3 linked regions of the Nothobranchius furzeri genome follow. The protein of the gene in region 1 purifies or fractionates together with the protein of each later gene. This does not show direct contact. Links are inferred from orthologs where the notes say so. Each region holds a gene or a part of one and is shown on either strand. Other genes may lie near its edges. The genes, in order: sf3b4, ilf2 and phf5a.

What was found.
Region 2: the proteins of sf3b4 (region 1) and ilf2 fractionate together in Homo sapiens (co-fractionation; 3 studies listed by BioGRID, with this or other methods). This does not show direct contact. The link is inferred for Nothobranchius furzeri from reciprocal best matches to the Homo sapiens genes SF3B4 and ILF2.
Region 3: the proteins of sf3b4 (region 1) and phf5a purify together in Homo sapiens (affinity purification with mass spectrometry; 6 studies listed by BioGRID and IntAct, with this or other methods). This does not show direct contact. The link is inferred for Nothobranchius furzeri from reciprocal best matches to the Homo sapiens genes SF3B4 and PHF5A.

Annotation. Positions count from the first base shown.
Region 1 is NC_091759.1:1,629,867-1,633,617, forward strand, and holds the start of sf3b4 (splicing factor 3B subunit 4), read left to right. Parts: upstream 1-1,456; 5' UTR 1,457-1,691; coding exon 1,692-1,725; intron 1,726-2,161; coding exon 2,162-2,290; intron 2,291-2,375; coding exon 2,376-2,918; intron 2,919-3,012; coding exon 3,013-3,183; intron 3,184-3,408; coding exon 3,409-3,555; intron 3,556-3,650; coding exon 3,651-3,751. UniProt on the Homo sapiens protein: Component of the 17S U2 SnRNP complex of the spliceosome, a large ribonucleoprotein complex that removes introns from transcribed pre-mRNAs.
Region 2 is NC_091751.1:23,258,277-23,261,996, reverse strand, and holds the start of ilf2 (interleukin enhancer-binding factor 2 homolog), read left to right. Parts: upstream 1-897; 5' UTR 898-1,050; coding exon 1,051-1,055; intron 1,056-1,368; coding exon 1,369-1,428; intron 1,429-2,055; coding exon 2,056-2,098; intron 2,099-2,225; coding exon 2,226-2,330; intron 2,331-2,418; coding exon 2,419-2,496; intron 2,497-2,736; coding exon 2,737-2,839; intron 2,840-3,232; coding exon 3,233-3,298; intron 3,299-3,533; coding exon 3,534-3,650; intron 3,651-3,720. UniProt on the Homo sapiens protein: Chromatin-interacting protein that forms a stable heterodimer with interleukin enhancer-binding factor 3/ILF3 and plays a role in several biological processes including transcription, innate immunity or cell growth.
Region 3 is NC_091756.1:28,019,794-28,023,544, forward strand, and holds the start of phf5a (PHD finger-like domain-containing protein 5A), read left to right. Parts: upstream 1-1,279; 5' UTR 1,280-1,381; coding exon 1,382-1,433; intron 1,434-1,722; coding exon 1,723-1,746; intron 1,747-3,392; coding exon 3,393-3,559; intron 3,560-3,629; coding exon 3,630-3,719; 3' UTR 3,720-3,751. Other genes in the region: l3mbtl2 (lethal(3)malignant brain tumor-like protein 2), read left to right, coding at 1-32, 109-341.

The sequences.
Region 1 (3,751 bases):
GTACCATCCTGACCATGCGCCGGCACATGCATACTCTGTGCATTCAACTGCCTCTCTTTTTTAAAGGCTAAATATTTTTTTGTTAAGTGTTCTATTCTAAGCTTCTGTTGATTAATTGACTATTCCATCCGACAACGTTTCAAGCGAAAAAAAACTGGTTTACTGCTAAAAAATATGAAATAAAACAACAAAATTATCAGGCTGAAGTATATAAAAGGCTCAATAATATGCATTATGGTTTCGTCCATCATGAACAGCCCCCCTCCTTCCACTCTCACTGAGACTTCTTTGCTTCGTTCAAAAGAGCCAGTCTTTTGAGCGGCCCTTTGAAGACGTAATTATTTTTATTTTTATGAGCTTTACTATCTATTTGTGGTATAACGGTTTGTGACTAAATGCATTATGGGATACTTTTCTGGTCCAAGTCCAAAGATGGATACTTTATTGTAATGGGTGAAGGACGAACACATCCAGGAACTTTGAGCGTACTTGCCATGATGCGTACTTGGTATTGGAACAGTACACGGGCTAACGCCAATGACATTTCACAATTAATATAGTACACACGTTTAAACAAGTACTCATATTGCAAAACAGCCTATAACTTGTTTTTTTTAATTAGTCTAAACCTTTCTCTTTCTGTGGTCTTTGGTGATTGCCAAGCAACACTTCCTAACCAGGAAGCAACTTGGTTCGCTCCCTGCTAGCCAAACTATCTCTAAGTATCATGACAGTGCTATACTTTCTCATATTTATGCCATAATGTCAAATTATTTCTTTATTATGTGACAAATATTATGAAGGTTAAAAGAAGGCGATTGTGTTTATGAACACCGGGTTTTAGTGAATCAGCTTGTGAAATATGTGTTGCATTATTTGGTTTGTGTTGTGAAATTCTGTTCTCGTTTTAGGGGCCAAAAAAAGAAAATGTAATAAGTGTATTTGAGCAGGTTTAATGAGTGAGCCTGGAGGTCTTTAATTTTGTTTATTTTTAAGGTTTACTTTTTAAAATAAAGTTCAGTAGATGTATTTTTCTTCACAAGCCATTAATTATTCTCAGCTCTTTCAGTTATTTTAATGACTATTATCTATGAAGGCTCCCTTACTGATGCTTATTTTAAATTCATTTTATAAACAGCTTTGGCAACAGTTTTATTTTTTGTCTTTGGTGCATGATGTTAGTTTCTATTTTTAATGTGTGTTTTATATATATATATATATATATATATAAAAAATAGTTACTTTCTAAAATTTTTGAGACCCTAAATGTGTGTATTTTCTATGAACACTTTGTATTCCATGTTTATACCTTTAGTATATTTATATGTATATGAAATAAATCAAATAATAAAAATAATTGTGGCTTTGTTTTGAATTTGTTGTTAATGGTTAAGTGCCATACAACTAAAAATATCCCAGAAAAAACTATCAAATCAATTCAAATGAAACTTAGTGATTTTGATTGCCTTTCAAGTTTTTAATTAACATTCATTTATTTGCTGTCTTTTTTTGTTTAGGAATGTCTGGGTCTTTAGTGTAATCAGAGTATAACAATTTTTTATGTAACTACAAAAACAGAAGAATTAGTTTATTTTTACTTTAATTTATTTGATCTTATTTTATTTTGTTGGGTTTTACCGGAAGAGGCGGGCCTTCCCTTCACAACGCTCTCCCAGCGTTGGTCATTCAACATGGCAGCGGGACCAATTTCAGAAAGAAACCAAGGTAATTTCATTGTTTAAATGGTTTAACGCTTACACCTTCATTATTTAGCGATATCTCTTGATTTATAACAATTGAAATTCTTATCCGCTCTTTCCCACCAATGTTAGCTGTCTAATTAGCCCGTGTTTTGGGGGTAAATGCGTACTCAAACACATGGAAGTCTCCGGTCTCGTTAGCCTAGCTTCTAGCTAAGTTAGCCGTTTTTTGTTTATTTTAATTGTATTACTTAATGCTTGTATTACTTAATGCTTGACTTCACGATAGCATACGGGAGTTTTATGTTGTTTATTTGAAATGCAGAGATTATTCCAAGTCAGGACTAGAACCACTAAACAACTAAAGTTAGCCTTAAAAACTCGCGACATTAGCATGTAGCAATGCTCACCTATCAATGTAAACACCGTTTTCCTTAATAGGTATTTTCTTGTGTTTCCAGATGCCACCGTGTATGTCGGTGGTTTGGATGAGAAGGTGTCAGAGCCGTTGCTATGGGAGCTTTTTCTGCAGGCTGGCCCTGTTGTCAACACACACATGCCCAAAGATCGGGTCACAGGTCAACATCAAGGTGAGAATCAGGCTATTCAAGATGGGATGAAAGTCCTAAAATTCACTGTAACAATGTACATAACAAATGAAACTGTTCCACTCAGGTTATGGATTTGTGGAGTTCCTCAGTGAGGAAGATGCTGACTATGCCATTAAAATCATGAACATGATTAAGCTCTACGGCAAACCGATTCGCGTGAATAAGGCCTCCGCCCACAACAAAAACCTGGATGTTGGCGCTAATATCTTCATCGGGAACTTGGACCCGGAGATCGATGAAAAACTGCTCTACGACACGTTCAGTGCTTTTGGCGTTATTCTACAAACTCCAAAGATCATGCGAGACCCAGACACCGGCAACTCCAAGGGTTACGCCTTCATCAACTTTGCCAGCTTTGATGCGTCCGACGCCGCCATCGAGGCCATGAATGGCCAGTACCTGTGCAACCGGCCCATCACTGTGTCGTACGCGTTCAAGAAAGATTCTAAAGGAGAACGCCATGGCTCAGCGGCAGAGCGACTGCTAGCTGCACAAAACCCTCTCTCGCAGGCAGACAGGCCACATCAGCTGTTTGCAGATGCTCCGCCCCCACCATCTGCACAGACGCCACTCCTAACCGCAATGGGCCCCGGGATTCCTCTTCATGGTATGACTGCTCTAATCTTAACTGCCGATAAAGAAGTACCTTTCTACATTTATTGGGTTAATTATATAATAGTTTTGTTTTTTTTTTTGCGCAGGTTTGCCGCCTCCTGGTGCCTTTCCTCACGTTCCTCCCCCTGGATCAATGCCTCCAACGATGCCCCCTTCTATGGGCATGCCTCCATCAGCAGGGACACCAGGTCCTCCATCTTCTCTTGGTGGACCTCCAGCTGTTCCTCCACCTTTCGCACCGGCCAGCATGCCTCCAGGTATAACTCGGTTGCAGAAAAGCCTGAAAATTTAAGTCTCTGCTCCCCATTTTAGCTTTAAGAAGTCCAATAACGATTAATAAAATTGTGCAGGATCAACCTCAGTCATCTCCTTCAAATGTGAAGAAATAAAAACAATAATGTTTCAATTTAAATGTCAGGTTATTAAAATGCAGCTGTTAGCCCTGAATGAGTTATTTTTATTTGTTTGATCCGGGCCCACAGGTATGCCTCAGATGCCCATGCCGCCTGCTCCTCCTGGCATGGTGCCTCCACCTGCTCCACCAGGATCGGCTCGAGCTCCACCGCCCCCCAGCATGCCCCCACCTCCTATGGGCATGCCTCCCAGAGCACCGTATGGACCCCCCATGGGTGAGCACTGTGGCATTTTCTCAAAAATACAATTTTTTTTAAATGAAAGTTGTTTTTAACCTGTTATTTCTTTTTTTTTTTTTTTTTTTCCCAAGCCCACCCTGTGCCTCCAGGTATGAGAGGACCTCCCCCCATGCCTCCTCCCGGCTATGGTGCCGTTCCTCCTCGTCCACCTCCTTTTGGTTTCCAGAGAGCA
Region 2 (3,720 bases), on another chromosome or scaffold:
TGCACCACTAAACAACAGTGCTAGAGGAGAGCAGCTGTCCGAAGTAAGATGGCTGCCGCGTACGGACGTCAGGGTCCATTGACGAACAGCGCAGGTGAGAATCAGTGCATCTTTTGTATGACAGAATGTGAAACTATTGAGCACCTTTTTCTTCTCGTGTTCAGTAACACTTGGTTTTGAGGAGGATGTTTATCGATTGGTAAATATTGAGAGAAATGATGTAATCTAAAGTACTGATATACATGGATGCTCTTCCAAAAAAGATATCCAAAATGGTGAACATTACCAAATACATAAGACTAAATGGAAAAACAGCAAGCCTAACATTAATCATTTTAAAAATTAAATAAAACAATTTACAACATCTCAAAGAGTATTTTCAGAAAATAACCAATCTATAACTGAGTTGTGCGAAACAATGTCTGAGTTTCTTGTTCTTTAAATTACAGTCCAATGAATCAAACATGTTTGAACTATAATGCTGAAATATCAACCTCTGAACGTTTTTTGTTTGTTGTTGATGTTATTTTATTTTTTGTTTTAATTATTATTATTTTGCATCATAATTTATTTTATGGTAGTGCCATGCGGTAAATGTTGCAAGTTCTAAATGTCATTTTTATTTTCCTCAAGTGCGGTCATTTGTATTTGTTATATTCTTCAGTACGTTGAATGTAGGTTACATTGTAAACTGAATGTATGTGAAAACGAAGATTGAAATAAAGTTAAAAAAGAGACTTGACCAGAAAGACGTGAATGAATAAAGTTACGCTATGGCAGCAGCAAAAAAATATACCAATAAATAAAAAAAACAGCGCATCTAGCTATAATATGTGATATCTATGCGGTCCACACTCCATTCCAGTTGGGGGCGGTAATGTACCACGGCGTTGGTGACGTAAAACAGAAAGAAAGAAACAATTCCGCCGGAAACAGAAGTCTCTTTGTGCCACACTAGTCCCTTCCGCAGTTAGCCTCCGCTCATTCATTAAACCATATCAAACCGTTCTCCCTGTTTTCTCTCATCAAACCATCAAAACGTCGTACGCAATGAGGTAACGCTGACTAACCGGACCTGGTTGTGTTGGCTTTACGCTAACTAGCCTGTAATCAGTGTCATTAGCTGTTAGCCATTAGCTCGGTATAGCTTTCTGTTAAAGTCTCGTTCTGAACGTGGTGTTACTTATTTATTCCTCCAATAACAGTGTTACTGATAACTCTTACGTTTTATCGACAGCAAGTTAACACTGAGGTAGCGAATTAGGACTATAACACACGTGTGTTAGCTAAGATCAGCGTTTTTATTTATCCTTTAGTCTGGCAGTAGCGAGCGCACTGGACTGATCTGGGTTTTGTGTTTGTGAACAGAGGAGACCGCGGCAGGGGCCGAGGACTCCGCTTCGGAGCCCGGGGAGGCATGGTCCAGGGGTGAGTACCTTACTGATCTCTGTTCCTGTTCCATACTGGTTCTTTCAGTCAGGTCCTTGATCTGGTTGTAGAAAGTATCTGACAGTTAGTCTTAAGTTTGCTGGTTCGATTCCTGCTTCTGGATGGAACTCGGACCCATAAGCCATCAGAGTAGAAAAGTCTAAGTGAGAAAGATCTTCAGAAGTGGAAAAAGAAGCCTCTTGTGATTACACAGGACGACGGCACTCTCCCCAGAACATCTCCAGAAGGACTTCTTCAGAGCAGTTAGATCTTTCCATCCTGTCTGAAAGCAGCGTCCTGTTTCTGTCTCTTTAAACTTCATTTTTTCCCAAATGAAACAATCCATTGATTTCTGGATCCTTAAAAAGCTGCTGTAAAGTCTGGAATCATCAGCTCATGTTGTGCGTGGTCCTGGTGATGAAGCTAAGACGGATTGTTGGTTATTGTGCTGAAGCAAAAAGAACCGCTGCCTTGGTTATAACTGAAACCTCCAAATCATTGTTAAAATCTACTTTTTGGGTTTGAACATCAGCTTTCATAAGGTCCCGGTCAGACGTTCTGGTTCTGACTAGTAGGGACATTTGTGCCAGTCCACCGATTCTCCGTTCTTCTCTCTGTCCCGCTCAGGTACCGTCCTTTTGTCCCGCACATCCCATTTGACTTCTATGTGGTGAGTTCACGCATGTGACAGACAACAGAACAGCATGCAGGAATAATCAGTAACCATGGCTACAACTAGCATCTGGTAGAATCCGGTCCATTTTGTGGTTCTGAAGCAGACTGTTGTCCTTCCCCAGTGTGAGATGGCCTTCCCCAGAGTGAAACCTGCTCCTGATGAGACGGCGTTTAGCGAGTGTCTGCTGAAGAGGAACCAGGACCTGAGCCCCTCACCTGCAGAACAGGTCAGCTAGGTATTCCAGTTCAACACCTCACTGGTCTCATCGTGCTGTAGGTTACTTACCTGACGTCTTCATTTCCTTCTGCTTCTAGTCTTCCATCTTGTCTTTGGTCACAAAGATCAATAATGTCATCGACAACCTGATTGTTGCCCCTGGTAGCTTTGAAGTGGTGAGTGGTGAACATCTGACCTGTAGAGCTGCCATGTTTACTGAAACTGGTGTAAATGAGTTGGTGTCAGTAAGGCTGTAATGATCTGTGTTTGCTGTCACGTCCTAATCTGGGATTAAATGTTTCTCTTCCGTCATGACCTTCCTAGACCTCCCACAGGCTGAGCTTTATGTAGCTGAGCGGTTTTATCTTTTAGAACGCATCAAAGCCATCCCGCATGCTTACGTTATCTGTCCACAGCAAATAGAAGAAGTTCGTCAGGTGGGTTCATACAAGAAGGGAACCATGACAACTGGACACAACGTCGCTGACCTCGTTGTCATCCTCAAGATCCTCCCTACACGTGAGTCATTGTTCATTCAGACCAGCCCTGGGTCCGTCACTAGGGCCTCATCCTGCTGGAACAGCTTCAACAGATGTTCTGGTGAAACCACTGAGCACATCTGGACTCGTGTTGGTAAATACATGGCTAGTCCCATCATGCAGCCCGACCGGACCGGCTATCCAGCAGCTAAGCTGTTTAGCTTTAGCCTCTTTAAGCTTAACAGTGATGACGAAACTCGTCAGACCGTACAGGAACTCGAGAACAGAAGTGTCTGAATCCTAAATGTGTTTATGAGGCAACTTGGTGTCATTTAAACCCCGAATACCGTCGGTAGAGTGGTGATTAATACTGAGTCCAGTGTTAAACACCTGGAGCTAAAGCTGACTCTGCTCTTCATGTTTAATCTAACAGTGGAGGCAGTGGCTGCGCTCGGGAACAAGGTGGTGGAGACTCTTCGCACCCAGGACCCCGCAGAAGGTACGGGGGTGGGTCTGTGTGTGTGTGTGGGGGGGTGTATCTGCAGCTCTGGACCTTACCTAAAGGCTGAAGTTGGTCAGAGTGCCCTCAAGAAACAGAGTGAGCATCTTTAGTGAGTTAATGATGTAATAAACACTAATGGTGTGTGTGTGTGTGTGTGTGTGTGTGTGTGTGTGTGTGTGTGTGTGTGTGTGTGTGTGTGTGTGTGTGTGTGTGTGTGCACCCGCGCTTTCAGTTCTCTCCATGCTGACCAATGAGACGGGCTTTGAGATCAGCTCAGCTGATGCAACCGTTAAGATCCTCATCACCACTGTCCCGCCCAACCTACGCAAGCTGGATCCAGAGCTGCACCGTATGATACACACACACACACCCACACATGCATACACACACACACACACATGCACACACACAGACACTCG
Region 3 (3,751 bases), on another chromosome or scaffold:
CCAGCTGAAGGCTGAACCAGAGGAGAGAGAGAGTAAGTGAAGGCTCTTCAAATTTGGTTTAAAGGTCATTTTTGATCATTGTTGTGTGACTGGGTTGTGTCTCTGTAGTCGTTAGAGTGCAGGTGAAGGTGGAGGAGATGGAGACCCTTATCAACCCCCCAGACCAGCCTCAAAAAGTCTCGCAGTGTGAAGTGAAACAAGAGAAGGCCGAGCAGATGATCCAGTCGGGACATCAGGTGCCAGAGCAGAGCCCACTGGCAGACATGATCCATCAGACCGCAGAGAAAAGAGAAACAGCAGAAAATGGAGGCGAGCATAAAGGACAAGCTGAGCGGAGTTAAAAAAAGACAAACCCCAGAAAAAAGGAGGCCAGAAAATGGGAGGAGCATGGAAGAGATGTGGGAAAACAACACAACAAGACACTGCAGGAGGAGCTGAACCGATGGAGATATAAGCGGCTGCTGTAGATGACGTTCTGAGATGGTAACAGATGTGAATCAAAAGACGGCTGGAGCTATGTCTCATGAATCTCTGCTGTTTATAAACTCTCAGACCCTCCGACCCAAAAAGAGAGTTCAGAACTGTCTCGCCTCCCCCAAGGTCACCCTAGCTACACCCAGTTCCTCAAAAGCTTTTGTTAGTGATCAAGTCATTGTTTTTGTTTCGTTATCAGATTTGTTTTTGTGAGCAAATATCCAGTCGGGAGTAAGAGTCAGACCAGTAGGTGAACAGATGAAAACCGGCTGATCCTGGCTGCATAGACCAGGAGCCGGTATGGCAATGTGGACCTGTTTCACTAGTTAGACTAATTCACTGGCTGGTCATATTAGCCAAGTTAACTGTTTTAATGTTTGTTGGTATAATTCTGTTAAAGAAGAACTCACAGTGGTCATTGTAATGATTTGAAACTGACAAAAGTAATAAATATATACTGAAAATCCATCTTGGCTTTTGATTAGTGGTTAAACAACAACTGAAAAGAAAATAATAAAATGGACCTGGATAAAAATGTTCCCTATTCTTCATTATTTGTTGTTGAACCTTTTGAGACAGTGTCAGCAACCCAGGGATTTTTGTAATTTTATTAACTTTGCTGCTGTTCTATGGTAACTCAGAGACATTGCAGCTCGTATCAGGATGAGGCATCACCTCTGGAGCAGAGGGATAAAGAATTTTAGTGAACATAAAACTTGGAAATTTGTTTAAATTCTGGGCTAATGACAGCATTTTCACCCAATGTCCTTGTTTATTTGAAACCCGTTTTTTAAGAGTGTAGTTACAAGGTGAAGGCACTAGGTGGTGGTAGCGACTCAACTCGACACTTGCACGCCGGTCAAAGGTTAAAACTGAATTACGTTCGGCCGTCGTTGGTTAGCTGAAAATGGCTAAACATCACCCAGATTTGATCTTCTGTCGAAAACAAGCGGGTGTCGGTATGTTTCTTTACTTTATGTCGTTCGGTACCTTTGAAACTACACAGATATATCAGAAACACGTTTGATTTGCGCCATGTGTTAGCTGCTAAGCTAACTGTTAGCATAAATACTGAAATGAGTAGCGGAGCTGGACGTGTCTTTACGGTTTTCATCTCTGTTGACACTAACAATTTTATGGTTTTTAAACCCGTTTAACTGAGTATTGAACATAGAGAAGTACAAATTTATCGTTTATCCTGAAAATTGAAACGTTTAATTGAACGACTGTTCTGTTTTCCTCCCGCAGCTATCGGGAGACTTTGCGAGAAGTGTAAGTGTCTCCACTTTTAACACGTTTACTGTAAAGTCTATTTCTGTTATAGGTTTTCCTCTAGAACGTTGTGCTTTTGGCTAATTCTAACCCAAAGATCTAGCTGATTTCCTTGGAGTAAAGGCGGCTAAAAAGAACCAACCATCATAAACGCTGTTAAACCTCTAGATTTTATTTATAGGCACTTTAAAAACACCCACCTTATAAAAAACCATGCCAATGTAAAATCCGTAATGAATTTTAAAGTCAATGCAATGTAAATTTAAGCAGCATTTTTAAAATAATCAAACATAAATTTAGATAAGAGAATTTGAAAATGATCTGAGGTGTCAACAAGGAAAAGGAAGACGAGGCCTTAGGGTGGAGGTGGAGATATGCAGGTCATCGTTAGGATTTTGGATATCGAGGACAAAGACTGGGATTGGTCTTGAAAGTGAGGCAGAATCCTGTGATGATGCAAAATTGGGATGGCAGCATATATCATATGCTACACGTGGCAGAGCTTTTGACTGACTGATGTCTTTAAAGATGAGGAGCCAGCTGAGGTGGGTTGGGAATTTGGTATGGATGTCCCCTGGACTCCACCTAGGGGAAGCGTTTCAGGCATGTCCTGCCAGCAGGAGGCTCCAGGTCGACCTGCGACACATTGGAGGTACCTCCACTTTGGGCAAGGCACACCTGGGGATCCTGCTGGAGGAGGTCTTCAGAAAGAGGCAAGGTTGGGTATCTCTGCTGGGGCTGCAACCCCCGTGACCCAGACTCATATGCAGGTAAAATCTGGTGGTCATTTACAGTAATCAGGGTCCAGATGTATGGCTGTAAGTGAAGAAAACATATTTTCTACACAGACCGTGCAAACATGAATCACCTTTAGACAGTACATGCTGGACATGAGGAATAATAACGAGGTCACAACCCAAACCAAGATGTTCACCAGACTGAAACTAGTCTGAGAGAAGTTAAACTCTCAACACTGAACTTCACTAAAACTAGTTTCTCCATCCACTGAGTTCAGCGTGTCCCAGCTGGGACAAAAGAGACAACAGAAGAATGTGTTAACAGAAATTTTCAAACCTGTGGACATCCTGTCTGGACACTTGCCAACTTAACCAGAAAATCTGGAAAAGCACCCGACAGGAAAATTTTAAAGTTATTGCAAATGTTGCAGGATTATCAAAGAAACTCCAAACGTGGCATTCTGGTGCATTGGAGTCCAGATGGGACCCTGAGACAGAAGTTGGTTTAGGTGAAGGACACGAGCTGAGCAGAGTCTGCACCTGTACACACAGATCAAGGCTCAGATTTAAATCTGAGAAAGATGTCACTTCCACATTTTGCTTTGAGAAAAGTCAATGAAGCCATTAGGTCGAATAGGAAAAGTCGCAGTTAAACAGATCTCCGGTTTCACTTATCCAACACCTCCAGTGCAGCTTTGGCTCCTCTCCCACTTCGTTTCACAACCACTCACACTTAAAAACACGTGACTGAAACTCTTCCTAACGTTCCAAACACTCACAGAAGAGACGGCGGGTCAGTCTTGTGATTGTTACAGTTACCTAATAAGATCAGAAGCACTTTCACTTTATTAGTAAATGTAGAAATAATTATTGTTCCCATCACCAGCTTAGTTTCTCTTCCTCTTCCAGGTGATGGGAAGTGTGTGATCTGCGACTCTTACGTGCGACCGTGCACGCTGGTGCGTATTTGTGATGAGTGTAACTACGGCTCCTATCAGGGGCGCTGTGTGATCTGCGGAGGTCCCGGCGTGTCTGACGCTTACTACTGCAAAGAGTGCACCATCCAGGAGAAAGATGTGAGTCCTCCTCTCGTACGCCCAGCTGTGTCTGCAGGAACGTCTCTAAATATTTTGTTCCTCTCTGCAGCGAGATGGCTGTCCCAAGATCGTAAACCTGGGCAGCTCCAAGACAGATCTGTTCTATGAAAGGAAGAAGTACGGCTTCAAGAAGAGGTGAAGACAGGAGAAACACCGAGTTCATAGTCGTTT